4 linked regions of the Macaca mulatta genome follow. The protein of the gene in region 2 interacts with the protein of the main gene of each other region in a biochemical or structural test. Links are inferred from orthologs where the notes say so. Each region holds a gene or a part of one and is shown on either strand. Other genes may lie near its edges. The genes, in order: PDGFB, PDGFRA, PDGFA and PDGFC.

Region 1 (6,618 bases), on a different chromosome or scaffold from region 2:
AAATGGTTTTAGTTTTAGATTGCCCTTATGAGCACCCAGATCTTTAGTTTCTGGGTCCCTCTTAGCCCCAGTCCACGCTGCAGGTGGGACCTAGACTACATTTAGCCTCTTTTTTATGAGCTGGTACCCAAGTCTTCATAAGCAAGAGAAAGCGCAGAACGCAGGAGCTTGGAGCCCACGCACCTTTCCTCATCCTCTCTGGCCGGAGTGAGTCTGTGACTTGCCCAAGGCCACACAGCTGGCTAAGGGCTAAGCCGAGACCAGACCCCAGACCCGGCTTTCCACTGTTTCCTTCTAAATCCCACATCCCCTCTGGGACTTCCTCCAGTGTTCCCCACAGTGGCTGTTCCCTCCCCACAGCCAGCCCACCCCACGATGCGGAGGATCCACTTCCTCTATGGAAACCCTCAGGCTGCAGAAACCCATCTCTCGTCACTGCCAGAGACAGGCACAAGTCCACGTGTCAGGACTGCGTCAGGACCAAGACCGACAGAGTGGCCTGTGTGTCTCTTCCCTCCCACTGCACTGAGGCCTCCCCGAAGCCACGGGCCTGCGTGTATGTGCACGCATGTGTGAGCATGGATGTGTGTGTGTGTGTGTGTGCGCGCGCCAGTGTGTGCGATCGCGCCTGAGGCTCCCAGAGTGAGAGGAACACGCCGCAAGCTGTCGGCACATCCTGCCAAGGCAGAAAGGTTAATTGTCACACATGATGCCAACAGACAGACCTCCGGCAGATTCATTTGGTTTTGTTTTGTGGTTATTTTTTTTTACAACTTTAAATACGGAATATAAATAAATTTTACATTTAAAAAATAAAAGGAAAGCCCCCAAAAATATAATCACCGACTTTACAAACTGAAGGAAGCAGGTTTTGGAAGGTGGGAAGGGGGAAAGTGCAGTAGGTGGGAAGGGAGGTGGGAGCTCAGACCCCACCCCTAGGGGGTCTTGGGGATCTCTTCCCTTCTCTCCCCCATTCCCAGCCCAAAGCTGGTTTCCTAGGAGGAGCCACCAGAGGCGGAGCTTAGAAGGATCGAAGATGGGGAAGTGTGCAAGCAGGGAGGGGTGCGGGCAAGAGGGCTGCACCCTCCCTTGGAGACCTTCTCCCGGGTGTCCCACACCCACCTGGAAGGGCAGTTGCTGGAGCAGAGGACTCTGGGAAATGGAGGTCATGTGGACAGCAGTGTTGCCTCCCGGCCCCTACCACAGTCTCCCTCCTATTTGGCCACTCCAAGCCACAGGCTGCATCAGGGGCACGGCCAGTCCACGAGGAATCTTTGTGTGAATTAGGAAAAGGATCCTTTTCCTCTTTACCTACATATGCCAGAAATTGTCATAATAAATACACAAATCAGCTTTATCTATGATGTGAACAGTGCTCCCTGCATACAATGTCTTTGTGCAGTGCATACCCTGCACAACCTTACATGGCAGTCTTAGCTGGGGTGGAAAATGATGAGCAGGTCCCTCGCTGCCCTGGCCTCTAGTCTTCTGCCCTAGAGAGGAGTGACTGGGATCATCTGGGGCCTTAATAAGGGGTTCAAGAGCCCCTTGGTGGAGCAGACTGAAGGGCCAGGACAAGAGGAAGACGGAGGGTGGAGGTAGAGAGATGAAAGGAACCAGAGGAAGAGGTGAATCAGAGTGGAGTGCAGGGAGGAACAGGTGGCAGGAGGCAGGGGATGCTCAGGTCACCATCTACAGCCACCTCAACCGCAAACTCCGTCTCTAACCCACCTGAGAGGGCACCCAGCCACTTGGTGTGCTGGCCACACCCACCTAGAGGAGTCCACGTCTTCAAAACGAAAACGAAAAGAAGCCACTGCGTACAGAGGCACCAGGGAGACGAGGTGACTGGTGTTTGGGCACTGTGGGAGGGGTGTTCTCCAGTCTGTGCGCCCGTCTGTGGTCTTAGCCACGGAGTCCGAGGTAGCCTGGCCTGCCTGGAGGTGTCTCCCCTCAGAGCTGGCCAGGGGTCCAGGGACCAGGCAGGCTACGCTGAGAGGTCCTCAGGGCCATGTGCAGGGCTCCTCCGGCCAGTCCACAGCGCTCGGGTGTGGCCCAGGCCAGGTGCAGGGGAAGGAGCCCGTTTCCCCCAAACAGTGACTCCGTCAGTCTCTCTCACACTCTTATCCCAAGTTCTTGGAGTCAGGCGAAGAAGACAGCGATGGAGTTCAGTCCTTCTTTTTCTTCTTGAGCTGCTGGGCAAGACGCCGGAGGCCGCTGGGAGGAGACCCGCTGATGGAAGGGTGGACGGACACGTGGAGGGGTGGGGGAAAGCACCATTGGCCGTCCGAATCAGGCATCGAGACAGACGGACGAGGGAAACAATATTATCACTCCAAGGACCCCATGGGGGCAATACAGCAAATACCATATTAAATAACCCTGCAGGACAAGCAGAGAGACAGGGGGGTCAGAGACAACCTAGAGGGTCCATCCCACATTCATATGTCCTCCATGCCAGGGGCAGGGAGCTGGGGACAACTAGCTACCCCTGATTTCCAGCAGTGCTCAGGGCTGGGGCATTGAAGGGCTGGGAAGATTGAGATTTAGACCTCCCATTCTCTTAGGGCGTGCTGGGACACAGCTGGGCTGGGGTCTCCAAAGCCCACCACCCACCCTGCCCCAGCTGATAACTGAGCAGAGAGGACCAAGGCTCAGAGGCTGGATTTGTATAGAAAAATCCTTTCCCCTGACCCCATCCACAGGCCACGGAGAAGGAAACACAGGGTTCTGGGCCTCAGTTTCCCCACCCGGCCCTCACCTGCCCACACTCTCCTGCCGATGCCCCTAGGCTCCGAGGGTCTCCTTCAGTGCCGTCTTGTCATGCGTGTGCTTGAATTTCCGGTGCTTGCCCTTGGGGGGCCGGCGGACTCGCACCGTCCGAATGGTCACCCGAGTTTGGGGCGTTTTGGCTGCATAAGAAAAAGAAAGACCTCGTGAGCATGTGGACCACTGGGGTGGTCTCTCCCGACTGACCAAGGCCTGCCGCGGACCTCCTGAGGTCTTCTGGACTCAGGAAAGGGACAAGAGGGGAATCTGGGCCAGGGTCCTGGGTTTGGATCCCAACTCCACTGCTCACCAGCTGTACATGCCTTGGGAACAATGACTGAACCTCTCTGAGCCTCGGCGCCTCCATCTGTGGAATGGGGGTAATAAGACTGCCCACCTCATAGGACTGGTGGGAGGAGTAAATGACAGTACGCTGGCAAAGCTCTTTGCACAGTACCGGACACAGAGCCAGGTAGATTAAATATGGTTTCAAGTTCTTTGTCACTGCCCACAGACCAGTAGAGTTTATTTCCCTGCCCCTTGAATCTCGCCTGGAGTTGGAGCTATTTAACCAACAAGAGGCAGAAGTGGTGCTGTGCCAGTTCCAGGCAGAGGCCTTAAGAAGGCCCGGAAGCTCTCACCTTCATGCTTTGGGGGGCCCTGGGCCGCCACATAACAGGTCTGGCTACCCTGCTGGAGAGGCCACATGGAGAGGCCAGGTAGGGACTGGCTCTCCCCACAGAGCCAGAGGCCCTGGACTACAGGGAGAGGAAAATAGGCCCAGCTGTCCCTGTTGAGCCTCCAGATGACCACAGCCCAGGCTGCCAGCTGACTGCAACCAGTAGACAGGCCAACAGAACCGCCCAACTGAGCCCAGTCAACCCCCAGACCTGGGAGAGATAATAAAAAGCTCCGAGTATGAAGTAGTCAGCACATGGCAGCTGCTACAACTCACTTTTTTTTCTTATTTTCCTTAGCTTGACCTACTATTGAGGTTTCCCCCCAACCTCTCAGCCTCATCCGGTCACGTGGTAGGGAGGTCACTGGGCTCTGGGCCAGAATCACACTCCCACCATGAAGCTGGGCCTTCGGGTCAGTTGTGCCTGTCACCTACCTGCCCCTTGCCACTCTGAGAAGCAGTAGAGTGGGATGGATGGGCCACAACTCAGGCTGTGGATCTGACTCACCAGGGCTCAAATCTGAGCTTTCCCATGTATTGTGGACATTGGAGCAAGTCACTTAAACACCCTGTGCCTTGATTTCCACATCTTTATTTATTTGTTTTTAAGACAGAGTCTCACTCTGTTGCCCAGGTTGGAGTGCAGTGGTGCAATCTCAGCTCACTGCAACCTCCACCTCCCAGGTTCAAGTGATTCTCCTGCCTCAGCCTCCCGAGTAGCTGGGATTACAGGCCTGTGCCATGACACCCAGTTAATTTTTGTATTTTTAGTAGAGGTGGGGTTTCACCATGTCGGCCAGGCTGGTCTGGAACTCCTGACCTCAAGTAATCCATCTGCCTTCACCTCCCAGAGTGCTGGGATTACAGGCGTGAGCCACCGGGCCCTGCCGATTTCCACATCTTTAAAGCAGAGAAGACAGCAGCCCTGGCCTCCTAGCGTTAGGAGACAATACATGGAAATGGCCAGAAACTCCCCAGCTAGTGTTTACCATGCACCTGGTGCTGCTCTATGCTCATTTCCCTTCACGGCAGGTGCTGTTACCGGCAGGTGCTGTTACCCACACTTTACAGATGAGGAAACTGAAGCAGAGAGACTGGGATTTGAACTCAGGGATCTGCCTCCAGAGTGTACACCTCCAACCACTCAGCACAAACGACAATGTCTGTGAGCCTCAGTCAAGGGGAGCTCTTATACACTATCTCCCTCCTGGGTTCCCAGGTGGCTGTCTTGGCAGGGACAGCTGTGTCTGCTGAGCTCAAGGCCAGCCTTTTCCTGGGAGCCTTTTGAGCTCTCCCAGCCCGCCGGGATCTGACACCTGACCTCCCACCTTACAGACACCAGCTCCCACGAGGCAGCTGTCCCATCTCTGCAAATGGGCAGATTTTCTAGCAGTTCAGGGACTTGGATGGGCTTCAGATCCCCTCAGACAGAAGACACCAGGAGGGCCACTGAAGGGCCCAGGGATTTTCTTCCCCAGAGCCTGGGCCATCAGCAGGACACCGGGCTATACCAAGCCCAGGCAAGCACAAGGTCACAGCTCGAGTGACAGCACGCAGATCTGAGCCCAGGTCTGACACTGACCACAGTATCACAAAGAGCCACCAAGCCTTAGCCAGGCCCATGGACAGGTGACAGAAACACCATCATACTCAACCAAAATACCGGAACTAAAATGATGGGACTTTACGTCATCTACGTTTCACTGGTATAATGCGCCTCCCAAGAAACTGGTTTAGAAAATTATGTGAAACAAATACATGAAGCAACTCATTCTAAACATAAAGAAAGCCAGGCGTGGTAGCTCAATGCCTGTAATCCCAGCACCTTGGGAGGCTGAGGTGGGAGGATCACTTGAACCCAGGAGTTAGAGACCAGCCTGAGCAACAAATCAAGACCCCATCTCTACAAAAATTTAAAATATTAGCTGGACGTGGTGGCACGTGCCTGTAATCCCAGCTACTTGGGAAGCTGAGGAGGGAGGCTCGCTTGAGCCCAGGAAGGAGTTCAAGGCTTCAGTGAGCTATGATCATGCCATTGCACTGCAGCCTAGGTGATGGAGAGAGATCCTGTCTCTTAAAAAAGAAAGAGGCTGGGCATGGTGGCTCACACCTGTAATCCCAGCACTTTGGGAGGCCGAGGCAGGTGGATCACTTGAGGTCAGGAGTTCCAGACCAGCCTGGCCAACATGGCGAAATCCCGTTTCTACTAAAAATACAAAAATTAGCCAGGTGTAGTGGCAGGTGCCTGTAATTCCAGCTAATCCGGAGGCTAAGGCAGGAGAACTGCTTGAACCCAGGAGGTAGAGGTTGCAGTGAGCCAAGATTGCACCACTGCACTTCAGCCTGGGCAACAGGGTGAGACTGTCTCAAAAAAAAAAAAAAAATATATATATATATATATATATATATATTTCCCTTAATAGAGAAATCATCCTCCATGTTAACTCAATAATTTATAACACGTCAGTTTGAAGCTGTCATATGATCAGCCTTTCCAGGGCATCCCAGCCACTCAGCTCAGCTCTAGGAATAAGACCCAGAGGTCAAGAAACGGCTCTGTCTTCACAGTCTTGTTAATCAGAAATGAGAATGAAAAGATTGTCCTGTCCCTAACAATAGAAAGTTACTGAAAAAGAACTATCACTCACATGATTTTTTTTAACGCTCATCTAATCATATTAATCATTTTTTTTTAAAGGCAGGGTCTTGCTCTGTTGCCCAGGCTGGAGTACAGTGGTGCCATCACGGCTCACTGTAGCCTCGACATCCCAGCCTCAAGCGATCCTCCCACCTCAGCCTCCTAAGTAGCTGGGACTACAGGCGTGTGCCACTATGCCTGGCTAATTTTTGTATTTTTTGTAGAGACGGGGTTTCACTGCCTCACAATGCTGCCAATGCCGTCTCGTACCCCTGACTGATCACCAGCTAGCTGTTCTGCATATGGAGCTCTCTCTCTCCAGTGGCTTCTCCCCACTGGTCCTAGTTCCCCTGCTCAAGGGTACGAGAAATTAGCTTTATTTCTCATCCCCAGGACAAGCTGCCCAGTGTCTGAAGTTGATGGGCATGGAGCTTTCTCTCATCCAGGCCCAGATTCCTTCCACCATCCCATCCCCACATCCAACAAAGCAGGGGGCTGTGGTAGCAAGACTGGAAATGGGGCTACTCTGGAT
Region 2 (7,849 bases):
ACCCTTTCTCTGTACAGGGAAGAGTTTCCATTAAATAAAGATTACCACATATGGATCCCGAGCAGCATGGACGACTGACATTTTAGAAAGCGGAATGTACCATGGACAGAAATAGTGACTCTCTTCATTTCTTTGACCTCCCTGGTAGCCTGGCGGGCAGCACATTCGTAATCTCCACTGTCTTTCACCGTGGCCTCGGGGACCGTCAAAGTGTACACCAATTTGATGGATGGGACTTTGATTTCTTCCAGCATTGTGATGCCTTTGCCTTTCTACAGCAAAAGGGGAAGAAAACCGACTTTTAAAAAGCTCGCTCCTAGGAGTGAACTCTAAGGTAGACTATGGACTCTGGGTGATACGATGTGTCAATGGAGGTTCATCAGTTGTAGCAAATGGACGGCAGGGATGTTGACAAGCGGGGAGGCTATGCATGTGTGGGAGCAGGAAACACGTGGGAAATCTCTGTACCTCTCACTCAATTTTGCTGTAAACCTAAAACTGCTCTAAAAGATAAAACCTAAAGAAAAAAAGCTAGCTGCTTAGAAAATCATGAGATTTTTTATTTTGTTTTTAATTTTTCTAGAGACAGAATCTCGCTCTGCTGCCCAGGCTGGAGTGCAGTGGCACAATCATGGCTCACTGAAGCCTCAACCTCCTGAGCTCAAGCGATCCTCCTACCTTGGTCTCCAGAGTAGCTGAGGCTACAGGCTCATGCCACCACGCCTGGCTAATTTTTAAAACATTTTTGTAGAGACGGAGTCTCAATACATTGCCCAGGCTGATCTCAAACTCCTGGCCTCAAGTGACCCTCCTGCCTCGGCCTCCCAAAGTATTGGGATTACAGGCATGAGCTACCACACCCAGCCAATTTTTTAAAAGGAGAGTTAATGACACATATAAGGTGTTTGTGCTATACTGCTGAAGGATAAAGAATGTAACAAACTACTGTTTAAAGAATAACACCTATTAATTATTCAATGTTTATCTATGGATAAGAAATATTTAAAAACTTTATCTCAGTCAATCTCAGAGGCTCACATGTGTAATCCCAACACTTTGAAAGGCCAAGGTAGGAGGATCACTTAAGTCCAGGAATTCGAGACCAGCCTGGGCAATGTAGTGAGACCCTCATCTCTACAAAAAAAAAAAAAAAAAAAAAAGAAGAAGAAGAAAAAAAAAACCGAAAGAAAGACAAATAAAAAATAAAAGTTTTATCTCCCTAAAATATAAACAGCGATGCTCTGGGAAGTAGCCTTTCCTTTGTCTCTCCGTATTTTACAAAGTATCTGCATTAAACCTGCATTACTTTTACAATCAGAAAAAAACATATTATATGAAACAATACTTTGATTATATATTTGTAAGCCAAATAGCATGTACTTTGGTTTGGGAAAAAAATACTGTATCCTATAAATAAAAAGCAGTGTTTATGTGTTAGGGATTAATGGCAATCAAGTGTGAACAGAAGAACCAAATCACTCCATATTTCAGGGAAGTTGTACATTTGTTGGACTGTAAATGTCCCTTTACCATGTGAAGTTTATGAGGCAATAGTGAAAATGCCCACCTTCCAATCAGATGCTCCAGGACGAATGAAAAGCAGTGGCAAATGCATGGGAGAGAGAAATGTATATAAGGAGGGAGATCAATGGATAGAAGGACAGAAAGCTGTCAAATGCCTAAAAGAACAGGGAGCAGAAATTTACAAGTCAGGAGAAGAGGGAAGAAATATATATATCTGGTTTTTGTTCTCCATAAGAATGTTAGTCATTCCTGCATTTGGGCATTCATAGCCTCTTACACATGCCTCTCTTACTTAGTGACAATGCATTCGAATGACTGAGACTCTGTGTAAATCTCCAGTGACCAAGAGGCAGCATGGTGGCTCCCTTTCCCCACTTCCATCTCCCCTCCTCCCTTCATCCGGCAATATTGGACCAGCTTCTGGTACGGTGCTTGAGATTGAGTAAAACATCATTAAACCTTTGTTGAATGATTACATAGTGACTGTTCACTGAACGTGAGCCATGCAAAGGTCAGGCACATAGGAGGTGGAACAGGAAGACACACTGTCCTCAGTGTCAACAAGGCAGAACAGGAAGGAGTGCAGGCAATAAACACTATCAAATGAATCAACCGTCAGAAGCACAGAAGCCAAGACAATGACAATTAATGACTCTCCGCAATAGTAAAATCCAGCGGTTTTTTTGCTCTTCTAATTTTTTGGTTGATATTTTGTAGCCAGAGAACCTTCCTATTTCTGTCTGACTTCTGAGAAAGAAGGCTTAGTGCACACTCTTTATGTATTCTGAAGGCCCTGGTCCAGCAACTGTCGTTTCAAACTCGCCCATTGATCAAGGAGCCCTAAAGGCTTTTTAATCAAATGTGTTCATCATAGAGGTGGGAAGCTAAGGTCTAGAGAAACTCAGTGATGTGCCCATCAGTGACAGACCCAGCACAAATGCAGGTCTTCTGAGCCCTGCTGCTCTGCTCCAAGCCATTGCACATTTTGAGGGTACCTACCACTTCTCCAGGGTAAGTCCACTGAAGGTCAACCACCTCATTGTTAAAAACAGCACAGGTGACCACAATCGTTTCCCCTGACTTATACACGGTTTTAAGAGCTTCCATTTCTAGATCCAGCTCTGATGTTGCTATAAAAAAGAACAAATACAAGGGCCTAAAAATCCATAGGATAGTAAGGATCTTATAAAGTTTGGGTGGTGGTGTTGTTTTTTGTTTTTTTAAGAAAACCCTGAAAAATAATTTGTGAACCAATTATGAATAAAAGCCCTGATCAAGATAAAATTTAGAAAATCTCACAAGGCTTGATTTTGAGATGGTGTACAACAATTAGGTGTATAGTTATAATACAGAATTATAAAATAATAACAATAAAAATAAATTCCAATCACTGCATTCCTCAGCAGTGCGTTAGTTATGGTTATACTCGTCTACAATCACCTTGACTGACATACTTATTCATTTAATCAACCAACCTTTGATGATCCACACTGCTCTAGACACTTTGTTTCTATCCAATTTTTTCTTCTCTTCTTCTCTTCCACTCTGCTCCTCAGTTATTCTCAGTACTTTCCCAGAACCCAGCACAGTGCCTGGCACAAAATTAGCTGTGCTCTGATTTTCAAACAGTGTACTCTTGCTGCTACCCATTCCCCCACATAGAATAGTGGTCAGGAAATATCTGTTGACCTCAGCATGTATTATACTTCCCCAAGCGTACTAACTGTGGACATCAAAGGGTTGAAGTCTACAACTACTTTCTTCAGAATTGAAATCATTTTCCTTAAGTTACTAAATTAATCTAGGAATCTAACCCCCAAGGTGTATGCTTGTTTTAGGGCCTCCGTAGTCAGGAATGTGAATGAAAGTAAGAGGCTTATGTAAGAAAAGAATTCCTTACAGTATTTTGAAGTCAACTGATGAAACATGAAATCTTGCATGAGTAATCAAGCTTTAGCCTTTAGTAATTTTAAGCTTATTATTATAGCCATAGAGGTCACCTTGACACTGTATTAGCTGGGGTCCTAAATCCCCAAATAGGAATTTAGGATCACCAGTGGCGATGATTTAAAAAAAAAATCATACATGCACCTGATGATTATGCCTGTTACTCTTATTTAAAGAAGGAAGGAGATGATACGAGTACCTTTTAAAGCATAAACGTTAAATGGGATGGTCTGGAACTTCTTTCCTTTGACGGTGGCCTCACAGATATAGGGCCCTACAGTGAAGGTCCCATTAAAGCCCTGTCTGCTGTTGTAGGAGGCAGGTACCACCCCCTCACTGTTGTGTAAAGTTACAGGAGTCTCAGGATCAGTTGTGCGACAAGGTATGATGGCAGAATCATCGTCCTCCACGATGACTAAATAATCCGTCATTCCTAGAGGTACAAAGGCTACATCTGGGTCTGTAGTTTAAAAAAGAATGAAGACTCCATTAGACATTAATTTCACCTTTACACATAAATCCAGAAACACTATCCCACTGGCAGTATTGATATTAGGTATGAAGTTCACCTTTACACATATATCCAGAAGAATTGCCCCACTGGCATTAGTTATCATGACAGCTACAAAGTGATTTTTAAGTGTGAATAATATCAAATTGCCTGTCTCCTGATAGATAATACTGATGATAAATATTAATACTGGATAAGAGTTGTGGCTCATGCCTTTAATCCCAGCACTTTGGGAAGCCAAGGTGGGAGGGTTGCTTGTGTTCAGGAGTTTGAGACCAGGCTGGGCAACATAGAGAGACCCTGTCTCTACAAATAAATAAATAAATACTAACCAGGAATCTAAATCAAAATTTAAACAACTAAAAACAAAAATGAACAATAAAATATTTAATAGAGTCCAACTCTGTTCAAAACAGGAAAAAATATTTCTAGTTTTATTATGAAATACTTTCAAAAAACTCTTATCACCTGTAGTCAGTACGATTGAAAAGTAGCACAGAAATGTGTTTGTTAAAAAGTAATCCTTTGAGAAATACATAAAATTTAAAGAAGGAGAAGGAGAAGGAGCCTGAGAATTTCCTTTCCAAAAGAAAAACAGCTACTTAAGCTACGGTGGTAAGAAGTTCTAAGAGTCTCAAACATCAGCTGCAGAAAAGGCCCCTAAATCTCCATTATTGTGAAATCAAAAGATCTCTGTCAGACAGCGATGCAGGGGCTACTTGGATGGCGTCTGTGCTGGAAAAAGATAGGGAACAAGAAGAATTTTTGGACAATCTTACACGGATTAAAACTTCAGGGACTTGTGTGCCTTTAACATATTCACGATCCTACCATTCTCTTCACAGCAGGGGAAAATCCCTCCACACCTAGAGGATTTTCCTGAAGGAATCTAAGTGTGAATGAAGTTGGGGTGACATTCTAAATGTCTTACCTTTTCAAAACAAAGTTGTTTATTTTTTCCTTAATTGTTAAGAAGGAAGGCTCATATGAATAAGAGTATCATGAAAGAAGTAAAGAGGGTCTAGGTCCCTGGGGACACCCATAGTTACAGAGGGTAGGAAGAGGAGCCCATTAAAAACTGAAAAAGAAAAGGCAGAAAGGTAGGAAGACACACTTCTGTGAGAACCCCCTTCCTCGACCTATGCCAAAACAGCAAGGATGGCAAGAATCCTAAGCGGTTTCTGTTTTGTTCTAAAACCAAGGATTCTAGCCACAGTCCTTTTTAATTTACCCAACTGCATACTGAAATTGCCACCACTTGTGTTCAATCCTTTGTCCTTTTAATTAAAATGTAGGAGTAGGCCAGGCCCAGTGGCTCACGCCTGTAACCCCAGAACTTTGGAAGGCTGAGGTGGGTGGGGCTCACTTGAGCCCAGGAGTTCGAGACCAGCCTGGGCCACACAGTGAAACCCTATCTCTACAAAAAAAATACAAAAATTTCGGCATAGTGGCTCACGCCTGTAATCCCAGCATTTTGGGAGGCCGAAGCAGATAGATTACTTAAGGTCAGGAGTTCAAGACCAGCCTGGTCAATATGGTGAAACCCCTGTCTCAAATGAAAATACACACCCAAAAATTTTTTAAAATATAAAAATTAGCCAGGCGTGGTGGTGCATGCCTGTAATCCCAGCTACTTGGGAGGCTGAAGTGGGAGGATCGCTTGAACCAGGGGAGTTGAGGTTGCAGTAAGCCATGATCATGCCACTGCATTCCAGCCTGGGCAACAGAGTGAGACCCTGTTTCAAAATATATATATATATATATATATATAACTTTTTAAAAGGAAAAAGAAAATACCTTCCAACTCTCAGAATAAATGTATATTGATAGTGAATCTGAAAAATCGAGTGTTTATTTGGAAGATATTATAATGAACTATCAGCAACTCCAAGACCGGGCTTACCTATTAATTTTTGTATACTCAACACGTAGCCCAGTGCTGGACACACTGTGAGTATGTGTGCAACTTGAATGAACTGAATAGAGATGAGTATATTTCAGATTGTTTATACAGTACCAATACAGGACATGTCATAACAAAGATGACTTTCCAAACTTAATACAGCTCTGAAATGCTAACAATGAATATTTCTTGATAATATTACAAATGATTTTTATTTCTGTGTGTTCGCTTACATCTTTCAAACTTCCTGCAATAAATATTAATTACTTATATATATGTTTAAAACCTTAGTACATTTAACAGGAAAGACAGGAAGAGAAGAAGCTCGGTCCTGGGGACCCATCCCACTCACCTGGCACATAGATGTAAATGTGCCTGCCTTCAAGCTCATTCTCTTCTGTCTGAGTGTGGTTGTAATAGCAAGTGTACAGCCCTGTGTGGGCCGCCGAGGCACTGCTCACTTCCAAGACTGTCACAAAAAGGCCACTGTTGTTTTCTTCATTTCTGATTTCCACATCAGAGTTCTCTTCTTCAGACATGGGGTACTGCCAGCTCACTTCACTCTCCCCAAAGCATCTCAGAGAAAAGGATGAATTCAGCTGCACAACCTTTTCATTTTCATTTGGAAGGATAGAGGGTAACGAAAGCTGGCAGAGGATTAGGCTCAGCCCTGCAAAAGGAAACACGCTCTGAATAGGATGCAACCAGAAAGGACGGTCTCATCCCGAGAACTGAGAGAAGCAATAGTAGCAGCTTAGATGAACAATGACCATTTCTACACAAAAATCCGTTAGCCTGGATGCCCATGAAAGGTCCCCCATTATAACAGCCACTGCATCTGCTGAGAGCAGCAAATGTTCCAGATAGCTCCACCAAGCCCCACTAGATTCACTCCTCCAAACACTCAAATGGACAGAGGATGTCTGATTCCAATTCCATATTTCAGACTCTTATGTGTAACCATAAAATATCCCAAGATGGCACAGGCTCAGGCACATATGGGTTCTTTATGGTTCACAGTCACTGCAGAGGTTTCCCTTAGTTAAAATGAGATGAGGCTGGGGTGCAGCAGCTCATGTCTGTAATCCCTGCACTTTGGGAGGTGGAAGTGGGAGGATCGCTTGAGTTCAGGAGTTTGAGACCAGCCTGGGCAACATAGTGAGACCTGGTCTCCACAAAAAATAAAAAATAAAAAAATTAGCCAGGTGTGCTGGTGCACACCTGTAGTCCCAGCTACTCCAGAGGCTGAGGTAAGAGGATCACTGGAGCCCAGGAGATTGAGGCTGCAATGAGCCTCTGCACTCCAGCCTGGGCAATAGAGCGAGAGACCTTGTCTCAAAAAAACAAAACAAAACAAAACAAAACAAAACACATGGAATGAGAACAGAGGCAAGGATATGGACTGAACAAAACACAAAGCACATCTGTGCTCAAGAATTCCACATTTTCCATTTCTTATAGCCCTTGGGCATGCTGTCTCTCCCTCATGACTTCCAGGGCCAAAGCAGGATGATGTGGATTTATTTATTTGTTTATATATTTATTTGTTTTTATGAGATGGAGTCTTGCTCTGTCACCCAGGCTGGAGTGCAGTGGTGCCAGATGATATGGATTTTAATTCACAATTAGTAAGTAAAACCCGAGTGAAAACTCTCAGTTCATCTTTGAACCTCAAATTTCAGTCTCGCTTATTTAGACTGAAACTGAACTTACTCCTTTTGAAATAGAGTAAATGTGATATAGCAAAGGAATTGAAGGTTTGCGGTCATTCTGGATAACGTCCTGCAGTTTTCTACTTCTTTTCACTCTTTTGGACTGTGTATGCAGAGTACAGATAATAAACCCATGGAGCACAGAACTTAGAAAACAAGAAACCCAAGACTGATAGAAGAGATATTTTGACTTAATTATTAATTAATGATTTGTAATCTCCCTTGGAGCCTGATGTGAGACTCCCACCCAAC
Region 3 (7,371 bases), on a different chromosome or scaffold from region 2:
CAAACTTCACCTTTACAAAAAAACAAACCACACACACACATTTCTGTTAATACACATAAAGCACAATATCTTACCAAAAATAAAGAATTTGGATTCTGTCCAAACACTGGCAGCAGAGGGAGTGACCGCCACCACGGCACCAGGGTACGACAACACAGATAGAAGCGGCAATGCATCTCATGTGCCGCGCGGGAACACAGCATTCTAGGTGTACACTGCGGGGAACAAGGTGTCACTCAGCCACAAACAGGGGCTCTGGGGCAGGTGCCGCAGGGACGGCATACGATTGGTTGACGCATAGTTCTTTCAAAATGGCTTAAATTAAAAAATAAAGCAGGGTAAGGGAGAAACACAAAGCCAGAAACATTTAGGAAATGATGCATAGGTAGGTATACCATGTTTATTTTAATACATCTCATTAGTTTGCATCTTGCTAGGAAAAATACCGTCGCACTGTCCTGACAGTTACAGCAGCCTGTGTGTTATCGGTGTAAATGTCATCCAAGAGATAATTTAAAAAAAAAAAAAAAAAAAAAAGCTAGCCAAAGAGTAAAAAGGAAAGCTTAATAATCACTTTATGGTGTAAAAAAAAAAAAAAAAAAAAAAAAAATTTCCACTTAAGGCTCTCAGGAAGGTTTCTGTATGGGCTTAAATACTACAGCGAGGAGGTGTGGTTTCTAAAGTTCGCGTGGCGGTTTCCAAGACATTCCTGCTTTCTGCGTGCCCCTGCAGAGCCCGCCAGCACCCCTCTGGAGTCGTTCCCAAAGCAGGCTCTGCATCCTCGGCAAAAAAGCACCTGTGACCACCCGGACAGAAATCCAGTCTGCTGAGACCTCTGCACTTCCATCCCACGGGAGCGACCCTCCATCTCGTCGAGTTTAGATATTTTTGTGAGTCCGTTTTGTTTTTGTCATGTTTTGTGGTTTTGTTTTCTCTCTCTCTCTCTCTCTCTTTGACAAGGAAGCTTCTTACTGCTTCACCGAGTGCTACAATACTTGCTTTGATGTCACATTAAACAAATGTGCACTGTCTCTTTGTTCTCCCGAGTGTTCTTGGACACAGTTTTTCACGGAGGAGAACAAAGACCGCACACTGGCAATAAAGCACCGTACATAGTAGGTTCAGGAATGTAACACGCCATGTACATCCATGTCCCAGGAAAGGGCTGCGGCTCATCCTCACCTCACATCTGCAGGGAGAAGGGAAAGACAGACACTGAGACCACCGACCAAGTGAACCACCCAGCACACACATCACTACATAGGAGGCAAACAGGGTGAAAACATTTAACCCAATCAGGGGTACACATGGATTTCAAGTTTTCATGAAATTTCCAGAATCACATTTGCCACATTAGCCATGTTGCAGTACCCTGACAGGAATTGGGATTAGGCTCCCAGCATCTCACAGAAGAACATGTCTAGAGACCAAGCCCCATTCTTCCATTGTACAGATGGGGGAAACTGAGGCCAAGAATGGTTCATTTGCCCTTCTCCCTGCCTTCCTTTCTTCCAGCCGAGGGCTTAGATGTGATTTCTGGAGCTCTGGCAGCCACCTTGGCCCATGAGACAACCCTGAGAATGGAGGCCACCAGCCAGACAGAAGAGTCTGCACCTAAGCAGACCTATGCTGATTCTTTAAGAACAACTCTTCCGCATCCTATGTTGCCGCTCCTTCACACACTCCAACACTTGGGCCAACTATAGGCTGAGCATGAGTGCCAGCCAGGCATGGGACAACAGGAGTGCCAGCCTCTCACCATGGGATCTGTCACAGCAGGCCCATGGAGGCCAGAGCCTAACGCTCTGTAGAAACAGAACCTGCAGGCAGGCACAAAACCACTCATCACACCACACTTTGGGCAAACGAAGCCAAGGCTGGCTGACCAACAGTCCTGGACTACTTCAAAGACCCGCCCAAGTGGATACTTTCCTCCCAAGAGGCTCCTCATGAATGGACCTCACCCGCAGGCCCAAGTCCCACATTGCAAACAGGAGCCAGGGTTCTCAGACACCCTATCTCTGAGAGCCTCCTCTCTTCTAAAGAAACTATTTGTTTTGGCCGCCATGGAGTCCCACGTGCCAGGAGGAGGAACCAGGCCAGACAGGGCTCCAACTTTCCCAAGCCAGGCGGGCCAATGCCAAGGACCAGGAAGGCTTGAAACTGCCTCCTCCGTGATGACAGCGACTGCCTAGGTCCCATCTCCATCTGGGAAGTGACGTGTGTTGCTAGGAGACGTTTCCCAAGCTCCCTTGCAGTGGAGGGATGGCAGTTGAGAAAAACACAAAAGTCACTGGGTGGAATTTCCAGGATAGCTCTCTAAGGGTGTTATTTTGCCCTTTTCCCCCCTCACTCCTTCTTCCAGCCTGGAGCACAGATGTGGTTTCTGGAGCTTTCGCAGCCACCTTGGGCCATGAGGCAACTGCAGATGGATGCCACTAGCCAGACAGAAGGGAGACCCTGATGATACTTCAAGACTACCCTCCCTGCTCTGCAATCCCACTTTTAGATGAAAGTCATGAAGCTCGACCTTATCTCAATCCCTGTGCTGTCTGGTGTCACTAGCAGCCAAATGCAATTTCCAACACAGGAGCCGACAGCCCTGTGCGTTTATAAAGGATTTCCAGATATATTCAGCCTCCAACAGTCCTTATCTGTAATCTCAGTTAAGCCTCAGTTTTTTCATCTGTCAAATGGGGTGGGTGATCCCAGAGTGGTCAGGCGGTCAGAGCAGCCCCACCGCTGCTCAGGTCGCCCAACCCATTCCATTCATGTGCAATGCTCCTGCGTCCCCAATCAACGACAAAGAGAAGGACAAAGCTGAAGGCAGGCTCCCAGAGTGGGAGTGAGCCGCGGGCCAGGGCGTTCTGCGAGGCAGGAGCAGACGGGGAGCAAGGAGACCCAAGCCCAGCAGACACCATGAAGGCCAATCAGGGCCACGTCCCTGCCGCACCCGGCGAGACAGGAAGCGTGATTTGCTGGTGTGATCAGTTGGTTGCACTTCCCCGCCCTGCAGGACTCAGCATGTCCGGCGGACAGGTCCTACCTGGTTGGCTGCTTTAGGTGGGTTTTAACCTTTTTCTTTTCCGTTTTTTACCTGACTCCCTAGGCCTTCCTGTTAACAAAAGGGCACGGCAGTGAGTGGGCCAAGGGATGGCCGTCGGGGTGAAGAACTGAAGCAACAAATACCTACGGTGTTTATCTTTCCAGAAGAGAAGGCCAGCACCCTGGCATGGAGAAACTTCTGAGTCCCCTCGTGCTCCCAGGGCCCAGACACAGCAGGGCACAGAGGCCATTCTGCTCCTGGGTGGAGTCCGCTCAGTGGGGTGAAGGAGAGACCCCAGCCAGCCAGGGCAGCTGTAGTCCTCGAACTTGCTCCTCCCGCCCATCCCGGCAGGGGCCCTTCTTCAGATTCTTCTCATCTCAGCCCCGTGGCCCACTGATGAGTTGGGCATCTTATGCACTCCCAGCCCCTCTCAGTGAGGCCTGAACCTCCTCTCCTGTCAGTGCTGCGGCTTGGGCTCCCCACTGGACACCTGCAGGCGTGGGATCTGCCTCCTCAGCAGGCATCTGGCCCAGGAGCAGGCCAACAAGTCCTTCAACAGCAGCCCAGATGCACACAGTCGTGAGCATCGCGCTCCAGGGGGCCACCTAACACCCCAAAAGCAAGGCTCCGAGGATCTGTTCTCGAACACCAATGCCAACGAAGGCAGCCACTCACCTGTGTCCTCTTCCCGATAATCCGGATTCAGGCTGGTGGTTGCGCAGGCGCACTCCAAATGCTCCTCTAACCTCACCTGGACTTCTTTTAATTTTGGTTTCTTCCTGACGTATTCCACCTTGGCCACCTGTCCGACAGAACACAGCCCAGCCATGAATGCCTGCATGGAGTTTCAGACAACACGACGTGCTGGGAGCCAGGGACAGGCTGGGAGGGAGGAGAGAGCAGCCTGACCTCTGACCTCTGACCTCCTCCCAGGAACGCTACCTTGTGGTGGAGAGTGTAGGAGTACCAGGTGAAAAACCTACAAGCTGCAGTGCAGTTTTTTGTGTGTGTGTTTTAGTTTTTTTGAGTAGGATCTCACCCTGTCACCCAGGCCAATCATAGCTCTCTGCAGCCTTGAACTCTTGGGCTCAAATGATCCTTCCACCTCAGCCTCCCACCTGTAAGCACAGGCCACCATGCCCAGCTAATTTAAATTTTTTTTTTTTTCTGGTAGAAATGAGATCTCGCTATGTTGCCGAGGTTGATGTTGAACTCCTGGACTCAAGTGATCTTCCTGCCTCAGCCTCCCAATGTGCTGGAATTTCAAGCGAGAGCCACCACGCCTGGCGTTGGAGCATGGCATTTTGTAGATTCATCCTATTTTTGTTTAAAATAAACCCAAAGGTTCACGTGTGCCTGGGGGGTCTGAAGGATGCACACTGCTAAGGTGTGGGAGTTTGGGGGTTCTGGGGTGCAGGTGGCCAGGGAAAGTGTTTGCTTGTGTGTGGATGTGCAGCTGGAAAATGTTTTCAAATGATCATGTTGTTATTAAATACATTTTAAAAGCCAGGCTGAGCATGGTGGCTCACGCCTGTAATCCCAGCACTTAGGAAGGCCAAGGCGGGAGGATCACTTAACTCCAGGGGTTCAAGACCAGCCTGGGCAACATAGTAAGAGCCTGTCTCTAAAAACAATTTAAAAACTAGCGAGCCATGGTGGCACCTGTAGTCCCAGCCTACTCAGAAGGCTGAGGTTGGAGTATCACTTGAGCCCAGGAGTTTGAGGCTGCAGTGAGCTGTGATAATACCACTGCACTCCAGCCTGGGCGATATACCAAGACCCTATCTCTATTAAAAAAAATTTTACAGCCATGGCCTAGGAATGGGGGGTTCGTGGCTGTATCCTAGCCTGAGGTTGTTGTGGACTTGAGAGTCCAGATGATAATCCCAGCTGCTGGCCTGATGAGGTCCCCACCTCCCTGCCAGCCCCCAGGCAGCAGGGCCAGCAGACCCACAACCGGGGTCCCCTCATGACTCCCCCAGGTCCAAGGCTCTCCTTGGGCTCAGAGAGGCCTGACCTCGGAAACCAGGGCCAGGAACCCTGGGCCATCACTGAGGCTCCACAAGATGAACCGGGAGGAGCACAGGCTGGTGGGCTGTGGCTGTCAGGCACAGGCAGCTCAAAAGCGAACCAGACCTCAGCCGAGTGTCTCTCTTCAGACTGGACTCTGCCTGTCTGCAAGCCACACCTGCCCTCAATTCTCCAGGCACAGAACCACAACATAGGGGTCCTGCCTCCACAGCCCCTTCCTGGGGGAGCTGAAGGCAGACAATGGCCCAGTCCAGGCCAGAGAGGGGGAGCTTCAGGCATTCAACAAGGGAGGCAAGAAACACACACACACACACACACATGCACACATGCATAATGCACATACAAGCCCCGTCATGGGAACACAACTCCACCCCCCACACACACCTGTATAATGCACACACATACCCTGTCATGGGGAGGCAACTCCACCCCCCACACACATTCATGCAGGCATAATGTACACATGGGCCCCATTATGGGAATCTTACTACACACACGCCTGGCATCAACAGACCCCTAATGCACGGCCAGGGACCGCGTGAGTCGAGCACCGGCTCTCCCAGCCCAAACCCCAGCACTCATGTCATCCTCCCAACCACCCTATAAGGAGGCACGACTGGCACCTCCATTCACAGAAGAAGAAACTGAGACACAGGCAAGCCCTAATTAAACCTGTCCCTAACTGCTAGGCTGTCCCACCTGCCCCCTGGGGCACATGCCAGGGAACAGCCACCACCTTCCTGCCCTCCCAGGCCCTGGGGAGCCGAGCACCCAGCAGGCGCTCCATCTGTGCCCACGGAACCAGCCCTGCCGCATACAGGGTCTAAGTCCAAGAACAGCCCCCACTTCACCCCTCACGGTTCATGGGGAAACTGAGGCTAGAAAGGAAACAGAGGCCGGGTCACCCCCTGAGCACAGGGGCATGGGGGAATGCACACTGCTGGGTGAATGAGGAGACCTCAGCACAAGGTCAGATGCCCCCAGCCCAGTGGCCCTGCCTCCCAGGCAGTCAGGAGGGTAAAGGAGGGAAGAGGGGAATGTTTCCCAACCTTCTTCAGGGGGTGGGGTGGGGGACTCTGGAGACTGGGCATCAGCAGGACCCCCAGGCAGAAGGTCAGCTCTGCACCCTGGGACCAGGCAGGCTCCGAAGGTAAGCCAGTCCCTAAGGCACTGGAGACCAGGCTTGTCCAAGGCTGAGTTAATGGTTAACCCACAGTGCAAAGGGTGCCTGCAGGCGTGTGAAGTGGTCTGGCCTGCCTGGGGCATGAACAGACAGCCAAGTATGAGCTCAACAGGTGCAGGGCGTGGGACGCCTGGGGTCAGGAGCCAGCTCAGAAACAGGACCTGGCCTGGGAGGTTTCGCTACGTCACAAAGCGTGAGAGAAAGCGGCCAGGACACCGCCGCTTCCTGGATGGGGTTCCGTTCCATTCGGGAGGCTTCAGACCAGTCCCCCAACTCCCGCGGCAATCTGCCCCTTTCCCCAGGACAGAATCCTCCAGAGAGGCTTCTGCAGCTGTGCACACACTTCCACCTCCCATCTGGAAAAGGGAAGCCGATCACACCCACTCAAGGGTTGAGGAATAAATGAGGCTGCACACGCAGAAGCCCCCAGAACTGAGGACAAAGCCAGCCTTCAGGAGTGGGCTGCCACCGGCGTCTATTCTAACACAGAGCCTCGAAACCAACCCGCCCCCTGGTCCCCAGGCTCAGCACAGTACCACCCCCCACCCACCACAGGCAGAGAGTGAGTCTAGAGTCATGCTCCTGTTGAGGGCCTGGGGTGGGAGAGGCCCAGCCTAAGGATGAACTGCAGCAAAGCCTCAAGAGGAGCAGCAGGGCCGCCTGGGACCTCAGCCACCCCCAGCCCTCCAAGCATGTCTTTAGCCCTCCCTGAGTCAAGAACTGCCAGGTAGTAACTAGGGATCCCAGTGCACAAAACCAGACCCAGCCCCCTCCTGCCTTGGCAGGGGCCGAGCTCCTTCTTCCCCTCCCCTGGAGGCCCTGGACACAGGTCCCAGCAGGTGGAACAGCACCAGCCTCACATCCTGCCACCTCCTGGGCTCAAAGCACCCCTACTCTGCTGCTCCCACCCACCCTCAGCCTCTGCAGGGGCGGCCAAGTGAGGCATGGGGCAGGTGGGCTCTGAAATCTGGGTTCGTGGGGATGGGCTCGGGCAGGGCGCCCTGTTCTGCTTCCAGCCCTGACCCTCCGGGTGGCACAGCCTCTTTGGTCAACAAGCAGCCTCACCTAGTTCCCTCGGCAGGGCAGATACCAGGGCCTGGCTCGGCAGAGA
Region 4 (8,320 bases), about 86 Mb from region 2:
CAGAAGCACCATCCCAGAACTTAATCATTCCACAATAGGCATTCTCATCTAAAACCAGTGTGCACAAAATATGAGTATTTTTCACCATGATCATATACTAAGTATACAGACCAGACACTCCCCAAGCAAGTCAATGTTATCTTTTAATCTCTTTCCTCAAGTTAAATCTGAAAACCCTTGTTTTCATATGTGAGACAGGGTCAGAAGTAAGGTTACAAATTAAGTATGGTTTATGAAGCCAACTTATAATATTAGAGGATAAAACTGTTTGTACAGTAAAAGTGGCAAGAACTGCAACCCAATGGTAGGTCAAAAACCAGATACCTAACAATAGTGTAAATGACACTAACCCTTCAAAGCTACTTCTGAACCATGTCCACATGATCCAGTCTAAATCCACGTATGCGGCATTGGCTATACCCATCAATTTCCAATTCTACCTCCTCTTTTTTTGTTTGTTTGTTTTTTGTTTGTTTGTTTGTTTTGTTTGTTTGTTTTCTGAGACGGAGTCTCGCTCTGTCGCCCAGGCTGGAGTGCAGTGGCGCGATCTCGGCTCACTGCAAGCTCCGCCTCCTGGGTTTATGCCATTCTCCTGCCTCAGCCTCCTGAGTAGCTGGGACTACAGGCGCCCGCCACCGCGCCCGGCTAATTTTTTGTATTTTTAGTAGAGACGGGGTTTCACCGTGGTCTCGATCTCCTGACCTTGTGATCCGCCCGCCTCGGCCTCCCAAAGTGCTGGGATTACAGGCGTGAGCCACCGCGCCCGGCCCTACCTCCTCTTGAAACACCAAGTTAATACTAAAACTAAGCAGCCAGAGGTAACTGATTGAATAAACACCATTAGGGACTTTAGAATACTCAAGAAAAGAGAGTATCATGAGGAGGGGTCCTTGAAGACAAGAATGAGCTGCTATAGTCATATCAATTTGGACATTTCAGAGTTAGAGAAGACCGTTCACAAAATGATTCAATGCACGAACTGGGTCAATGGGATCTGGGCCAATGGGATCTTCTACGTGGTATCCTCAAGGAGGGTTCATATTTACAGGACTGTACAACCGTCAAAATTGAGAAAGCAAGAGGCCAATAAAAAATCAATCATAATTCAGTATGTGGGCAAAAAGTTATCCACATAATGGAAAATTTGAAAGTCAAAAAGAAGAAGTAGAAGTAGTAGTACTAATGGTAATGGTAGTAGCTCTAACAAATCTGATTACATTCCAGGGGAATCTTCTTCAGCACCCACCTGTTATCCTCACATCTTCAAACTTTGACGTACAAAAATCAACCTGAGTATGTGCAAGAAAATAGCTCTATATTGCCCCCTAGTGCTGGCCAGTGCCACTTCTCCTTGGGCTAAAAAACTGCAAGTAGTTCCTCTACTTCTAGTTACTTCCTGCCGCCATCCTTAACATAGACCAACCCCTAACATAGCCCAAAACTCTGCCCACAGATTAGGAAACAAGCAGCAATTTTTGGCATCATGCATCTTAGGAATGGAAATGGCCCAGCTTCAGATGGCAACAGAATGTGTGTGGCCTGGCTTAATGAACTCATCTCTCCTGAAGGTGTGAACCTACTTGGGTAAAGTGGCCTATAACCACATGCTTCACGACAGCTCTGGGCCCCTTACGAAGTGATGACAGCATGTGGAACACAAGAGAGAACTACAAGGAAAGGACAAAGAGAAGCACAGGTTAGCAAAGAGATTCGGGGAGATGCCAAGAAAGGCTTGATAAGACAAGGCAATAGGAGAAATGATATGGGACAGGAACAGTAAAAAACAGAAGCCAGGAAGCCAGGAATATTGTGCATTGTTGTCATTATGGAGGAGCTTGTCTAGTAAGAAGCAATATTTTGAACTGGACATTTATTTTACATGAGAAAGAACAAAGGTTGGTCTGATCTGTTTCCTGCACTAGTACAGCTGGTGCTGTGGCTCCTTTGATCACTTTCCCCCAGTCCTCTGCAGCTACTGTGATTAGAGATAGATCCCTAGGCTGCCCTTTGATCAGCAGCTCAAGGAGCCTGCAGGTGCCATGTGCCATCACATTAGCAAGTTGTAAGCACCACCATACTAATATTGGCTGATAAATGTGATACTATGTCTTGCTGTGCAGCAGCAAATACAAATAATGTTTGCAAAAGTCCGCAGAATCCTTGTTTTATCTATTTTTATACCCTAAAACTTTCTGTGCTTTCTTAAACATGAACACTTCATAGAGTTTAAATTCAAAGTTGAAGGTTTGAAATACCCTGATATGAAAAGGAAAAAAAATCACTGTGACTTAAAACTATAGCACACCCCATTTTAATTTTGCAGTTATGCCATTTGTGTTCATTTTGCATGGTTAATGAAGTGACAGAATCGATGATATACAAAGCAGTAAAAACATGTATATTCCTTTTCAAATAACAGTAAGAGCCACCACTTGTAAACAGGGCATTAAACATTCCAATTTTAGACAGCCTACATGAACACTGTGGTTTCATGTGCAGTATAAAATTTCTATTTACAAAGTATTCTCAAAAATGACTTCATAATGGTAGATGAAGAGAAAAAGAGTTTAGAAATTGAATGATGTAAATCATATGGGTTCAGAGGCTAAGCAAATTACACACCCTGAAGCTGCCCTGGCTTTATGAAAGGAGCCTTTCTCCAGCTCTGTGCAATCCCAGCCCAAGGGAACTTGCATCTGAGAGTTTTCGAAACATTTCAGGTACACTTGAAAGCTGAAAGTAATTCTCATTTCCTATGCAGGATTAAGTCGCTTCCAGCACACACAAAATAGCAGTCATTCACCGACACATACTAAAACACACCACCAGAAAGGTAAGGACTTCAGAGTACAAAGGCAAGTTTAAAAAACAAAAAATAGGGCGCAAGAGAAATACACTTTTTAATTCCTCTAAAAACTACCACACAGCCTCTTGACCTCTATATTTCCTATCTACTCATTGATTAATTGATGACTTCGACCTAGAGTGCTTCAATTCATGCGGCTGATACATTTCCTGACCGATCCCCCTCGCCCTCCCCAAATCTGAGTAAAGTCAAACATGCCAAGACTCATTCATTTTGGATTCGTTTTTAGAGGCAGTTCTTGAACTTCTAACTCTGGCAATGAGCGAACCTGCAATGTGCATTTGAACTGACGTTCACAATCGCTCCCAGAATGTCCTCACTCTAACTGAGGCTGCAGTGGCACTCACGTTGCCCTCTTGGAGCTTTGTGGCAGCTCCCGAAGTTGCAAACTACACTTAACCTTCAACAGTCCATGCCAGTGAACGGAGCGCGCATTTGCATGTAGAGACCAAAGATACCTTCGCAGTCTGGTATACATCACATACCAACGCACAATGCCAACGTTAACACACACAGCGAGAAACAAGCAGGGGGAGAATGGGGGAAAGACTCACCGTTCTGTTCCTTGTTGCTGGAGAACTGGAATTTACTACTCAGGTTGGATTCCGCCTGAGTCCCCTGTCTCTGGCCGGCCAGGGCAGATGTCAGCAGGAGAAGCCTGAGGAGGAGCATTTGGCTGACTGGGACGAGAGCTCACTCACGGCGGGCACTTTGGAAGCAGCGACTCCCGAGTCTCTTTCACCACCGCCAGGGGAAGGCTGCACTGGGGTGGAAGCGCCGAGCCTGCTCTGGCAGCAGAGAATCGCAGGGTAGTTTCCACATAATCCCATCCAAAACTTTTTCCTAGAGCCCTCTTCTGTGTCTCCAGTTTTTGAAAAGGATCAAAGCAAAACCTGGACCTGAACCAGTTTCCCAAGGTTTAAACAAATCCTGAGCTGTTGGCGAAGTGGTGGGGGTGGGGGTGAAGGCGAGGGAGGAATGAGGGGGTGGGGACGCGGGGGAGCGGCGAGAAGTCACCAGCAAGTTGCTGGGAGCACCTGTCAGTTCGGGGGACAGGACAGAGGCGAAAACTCAAGGGTCGCGAGCAGCCAGACTGGAAGCCAAGTCGGCGGCGAGCAGTTTCTGATCAATAACAAAGCTGCCAATAGATGCGGCTCTCCGTGCGCCCCTCTCCCCCGCCCCACCCCCCACCCCCGAAGGGGGAGGGGGAAGAAACAAGGCGAGGGCGCCGCGGCTGGTCCCACGGGCCGGGGCGCCGGAGCGGGGCCGGGGGGCTCCGGGCCGAGACCGGCCCAGGCGCAGGCGGAGAGAGGCCCCGGGGCTCCTGCTCCCCAACCAGGCGCGCAGTCGGCGCCGCGTCCCGAGCGCCGCAGCACGGATTCCGGCACCTGGCTTGAGTTTTCCGCGACCAAAGTTCACCTTGTTCGGGCGCGTCCCCTGCTCCTCAAAGCCTGGGGCAATTCGGCCGCTCGGGGTCGCCGCGGGGCTCCGGTCGTTCCCCTCCCCTCCCCCCACGCCTCGGGCTCCGCTCTAACCTCGGGGCTCGGCGCGGCGTCTCCGCACGGGGTGAAGAGGGAAGGCCGGGGCGGCCGGGAGGATCCGGCTTGTCCCCTCCCCTTCTCTACCTTCCCCCCGCCCGGCGGCAGACAGGAGGTGGGGGCCGTGGGCCGAGTCCGGGCGGAGCGCGCGGCTGGCGAGCGGGGGAGGCTTAGCGGCTCTCCCGCAGGCGGCCGATGGGGCGGGCGGGGGTCGGCGCCTCTGGGAGGGGCAGCCCCGGGCCGCGTCCGCGCGAGCGGGCTTGGCCGCCCACTGGCTGTTAACAGGTGCTGCGCAGACAGGGGGTGTTGCGGGACTCGCTGTGGGCAAGACCCCGATGGCCCAGGCGAGGAACGCGGCCAAGGCGGCCCCAGCTTTCCTTTCCACGGAATACCTCTAACCCCAAATACAGAGCACGATGGGTGGTGAAGGGTGCTGCAGAAGTAAGAAGTGGGAAAGAACTTCTTGCAACTCTCCTTCTGCCGCCCCCTGTCGCCGGACTTGCCATTAGTTTCCAAGAGGGATCCCCACTCCCTAAGGTCTTTGCTAGGACCCTTGGCCAGAGTTTCAGAACGGAAAGAAGGGAAATGAATTCAAAGGTTTTTCTCCAATTTCCAGCTCCGTAAAGCAGGACAGATAAAGCAAAAGTAAAGGCAGCCAAAATAATAACATTCATTTAACAAGTACTATATTTACTGAATGCCCACTCTGTCGGGCACTGTTTAGAGGCTGGAACCGTAGCAGTGAAAACAGACAAAAGTCCCTGCCCTGGTGAAGCATACGTAGTAGTTGGGCAGCGTTAAGCTAATAGCAAGCTCTTCTGAGAACGGCGTCTAAGGGACTCAGAAGGATCCTGCAACCTTGGACTTTCCTACAATACAGCCTCTAACAAAACTAGGCTGCCCTGAACCCCTGTTGATAGAATTGTTTACATTTACACCAAAAAGGTCGAGAAATAACCGAAATCTGTATGTGGCTTGTGTTCAGGCTGACTTGGAGAGAGAGGCTGATGCTTTAAGACCTAAAGTTCTTATGAGGTAGTCTGAAATGAAACACACATGCCAAGCAGGGCCTATGGTGGTTCCATGTCTGCTAAATGTGTCTGTGACAGGATCCAACGTGCTTTCTTCGTGGAGAAGCAGAAAATCATTGTGAATGTGTTGAAGGCACAAGCAGAGAGTCAGAAAATTGAATTTTAAAATGAAGCTACTTTTGTGTAATAATCAAAATGAAAACTATATATATCAAGCAAGTGCCATGGCAGGCAAATCAGCAGTATCACCCAACTTCTTGTGAAAAAAAAAGTCAATGCAACAATTCGACCATCAAGGACACTTGGGCTGGAACAGAAAACCAAAATAGCAATGTCCCTGCAACTAAGGAGTGGCATTTGAGCAAGAACATATTCTTACTGGACCAAAGCAGGAGCTGATCCTTCTTCAGTGGTGATGAAAATGCCAAGCCCTCTTTGTATACTCAGACACCGACTGGGGCCAACCAACCAGACCTTTCTGCTTGAAATATCCTAGTCGTCTTGTTTTTTTCCTTTTTGAAACCTTTTAAAACTTCACCGATCTGTCTCATTCTTGAAAATTTCGCCCACCTGTCTCATTCATTCATTCTTATCCCTTTACCACTTCTATCTACAGAGTACTAAATATACATTAAAGGCAAATAAGACCTGATCTTTGACTTTAAGGAATTTACAGTTTAGTGGACAGAAGGTTTTTTTAATCAAGTATGGTATTTTATTCCAGTTAGCAGCTCCACAACGCCAGTGTGACTCCATATTTGCATAATATATTCCAAAAATATTTTGTAAATTTGTGAGGGTGAAGGTTTTATTCCCAATTTTAATGACATAATGGGAATTAAATAAAAGATTTAAATTTAAATAAATTTAAAAAAAAAGATTACAATGAATCCATTGTAATCTATTTGTCATAAAATTCATTATTCTCCAGTTTTTCTAATTTTGTGTGTTTGGTTTTCTAATCAGCATTTTTCTAAATGAAGTTGTTATACGTCCACAGAGTTGAGTTTCCTGACCACCCACATAGAGGGTGTGTGTGTGTGTGTGTGTGTGTGTGTGTGTGTGTGTGTGTGTCTGCAAATGTAATCCATTTGCTCTCAGGAGATTGGACGGGTGATGACTACTCTTTATTTTGTATCATTTCATATTGGCTAGAACAGTGCTTGGCACAGGGTGGTAATAAATAAACACTCATGACTGACTGACAGGTTTCTTTATTGGAGTCACTTACATTCTCCCTGGAATTTCAGCGCAATGGTTGTATTTGAAAAGTTACAGATGATCTAGAATAATACTCTACCTCTGCGTTTCACCTCATCCATATTCTACAGATTGATTTGACAATCGCCTTATAAATAAAGTCAGCCAGGTGTTCCTGAATGACCCCTAGACAAAATCACATCCACATTGGCCAATTTCCTTTCAATGTACTTGCATTGTCATTTCTTGAACTGCTCTTGCCCTTGACGTAGTTGATTCTTTTAACACATTATCCTCTGCCTGTCTTCCTGCTCTATTTTGCTTGTTAACCTTTTCTAGAAAAATGAAATCTTTGCATTGAAAGTAAATGTTATTTAATCCAGAGTCTGTGCAATTACTGAACAATATATTTTAAATGAATATGGCTTTGTTTTGGCCAAAGCATTTTCCTTGATGAAAGGCATCTGTTCCACCAACCAAGAGAAAATAATTTCAAACATTCTTTGTGGTTTTCATGTTTTCTTAAACCTTAAGAAGGATTGCCCGTTGCTGCTGCATGCATGAAGAGTATTACCTACAAATTCTTATTAAAGAATATACTTGGTGGTTAACAATGATAATTTGGGGGAGGGGGTGTCACTACTAAATTTTTTTAAGTGAAATAAGATTTTAAAGCAACCTACTCCTTTAGCTAGTCACTTAACACCCAAAGGGGCAGGAACCATGGGGACATATTTTTGCCCCAAAACAAACCATATCTACGTTTTTTTGCTCTTTATTTTTCTGTTTTGATCCTAAGACACACACACGTGCATGCACACACACACAGAGGCATATGTGCAAAGTTGTTTTAAGACTTTCCCTAGGACTTTTCAGTATTTTAGTGGCAGATAATTGAGCATGAATTCCTGAAGTTCAGAAAGCTTTGTTCTACCTAAATACTCATTGTGTTTTGACAATGGCTGACAAGTAACAATTTTATATATATACATATATATATATATATATTTATAAAAGGCAGGGCTGAGGATATCATTAGTAGGCAAAGTAAATGCCCACAGACCACAGCAGGAATAAAGACTGTATTAGGAAGTAAATAAATAAATAAAGTCAGTAGTCTGTCTTAGAGTCATCCTCTTTTCTCTCCACTTTTTCAGCTACCTCATCTTGAGAAATATGGCCCGCTATCTCTAGGTTACGAGGATATATATCAATACCCTGTTTTTCAAACCAAGAAATGAGACACTTTTCATTACATTTTATTCTGCTAGCATCAGGTAGCTTTTACCTCCCCAGTGTATCAAATGCTAATCTGAGAAGGGTTTACCTGCTGTGGCTGAGGGTAGAGGGTTTTGCTGAGGCTCTGCTCTAGAAGAACACACACTTTGTCATTCTGACTTTCCTGGGGAATGGATTTGGAGGATGGGGAGTTAAGAGAAGTGTGGCCTGCAGAAGTGGACTTCAGTTGGCTCTCTGTGGCCTTTCCCTTTGAAGTAAAGCTGCTATTTTCTTATTGAAATCATGACTTAGTATGCATAGATTTTTCCAAAATCTTAGAAGTGTTTGTCTGACTCAGAACCCAGAGGGAGTAACTAGCCAGAAACAGCCCCAAAGAAAGAGAAGCCCTAGTAACCTTTTAACCACCACAACAAAAGATCATTTCACTGGGAGATAGGAGGTCAGGG

What was found.
Region 1: the proteins of PDGFRA (region 2) and PDGFB form a complex in vitro, tested with the Homo sapiens proteins (3 studies listed by BioGRID). The link is inferred for Macaca mulatta from reciprocal best matches to the Homo sapiens genes PDGFRA and PDGFB.
Region 3: the proteins of PDGFRA (region 2) and PDGFA form a complex in vitro, tested with the Homo sapiens proteins (2 studies listed by BioGRID). The link is inferred for Macaca mulatta from reciprocal best matches to the Homo sapiens genes PDGFRA and PDGFA.
Region 4: the proteins of PDGFRA (region 2) and PDGFC form a complex in vitro, tested with the Homo sapiens proteins (2 studies listed by BioGRID and IntAct, with this or other methods). The link is inferred for Macaca mulatta from reciprocal best matches to the Homo sapiens genes PDGFRA and PDGFC.

The regions. Positions count from the first base shown.
Region 1 is NC_133415.1:12,333,297-12,339,914, reverse strand, and holds the end of PDGFB (platelet-derived growth factor subunit B), read right to left. Parts: intron 2,913-6,618; coding exon 2,788-2,912; 3' UTR 2,762-2,787; intron 2,383-2,761; exon of another isoform or gene 2,233-2,382; 3' UTR 740-2,232; downstream 1-739. UniProt on the Homo sapiens protein: Growth factor that plays an essential role in the regulation of embryonic development, cell proliferation, cell migration, survival and chemotaxis. Potent mitogen for cells of mesenchymal origin.
Region 2 is NC_133410.1:79,233,495-79,241,343, forward strand, and holds part of PDGFRA (platelet-derived growth factor receptor alpha), read right to left. Parts: intron 6,556-7,849; coding exon 6,238-6,555; intron 3,932-6,237; coding exon 3,671-3,931; intron 2,655-3,670; coding exon 2,524-2,654; intron 273-2,523; coding exon 101-272; intron 10-100; coding exon 1-9. UniProt on the Homo sapiens protein: Tyrosine-protein kinase that acts as a cell-surface receptor for PDGFA, PDGFB and PDGFC and plays an essential role in the regulation of embryonic development, cell proliferation, survival and chemotaxis.
Region 3 is NC_133408.1:34,434,750-34,442,120, forward strand, and holds part of PDGFA (platelet-derived growth factor subunit A), read right to left. Parts: intron 3,849-7,371; coding exon 3,722-3,848; intron 3,597-3,721; exon of another isoform or gene 3,194-3,596; intron 3,116-3,193; coding exon 3,060-3,115; 3' UTR 3,047-3,059; intron 1,190-3,046; coding exon of another isoform or gene 1,179-1,189; 3' UTR 1-1,178.
Region 4 is NC_133410.1:165,591,539-165,599,858, forward strand, and holds the start of PDGFC (platelet-derived growth factor C), read right to left. Parts: upstream 4,435-8,320; 5' UTR 4,402-4,434; exon of another isoform or gene 3,655-4,401; 5' UTR 3,539-3,654; coding exon 3,421-3,538; intron 1-3,420. UniProt on the Homo sapiens protein: Growth factor that plays an essential role in the regulation of embryonic development, cell proliferation, cell migration, survival and chemotaxis. Potent mitogen and chemoattractant for cells of mesenchymal origin.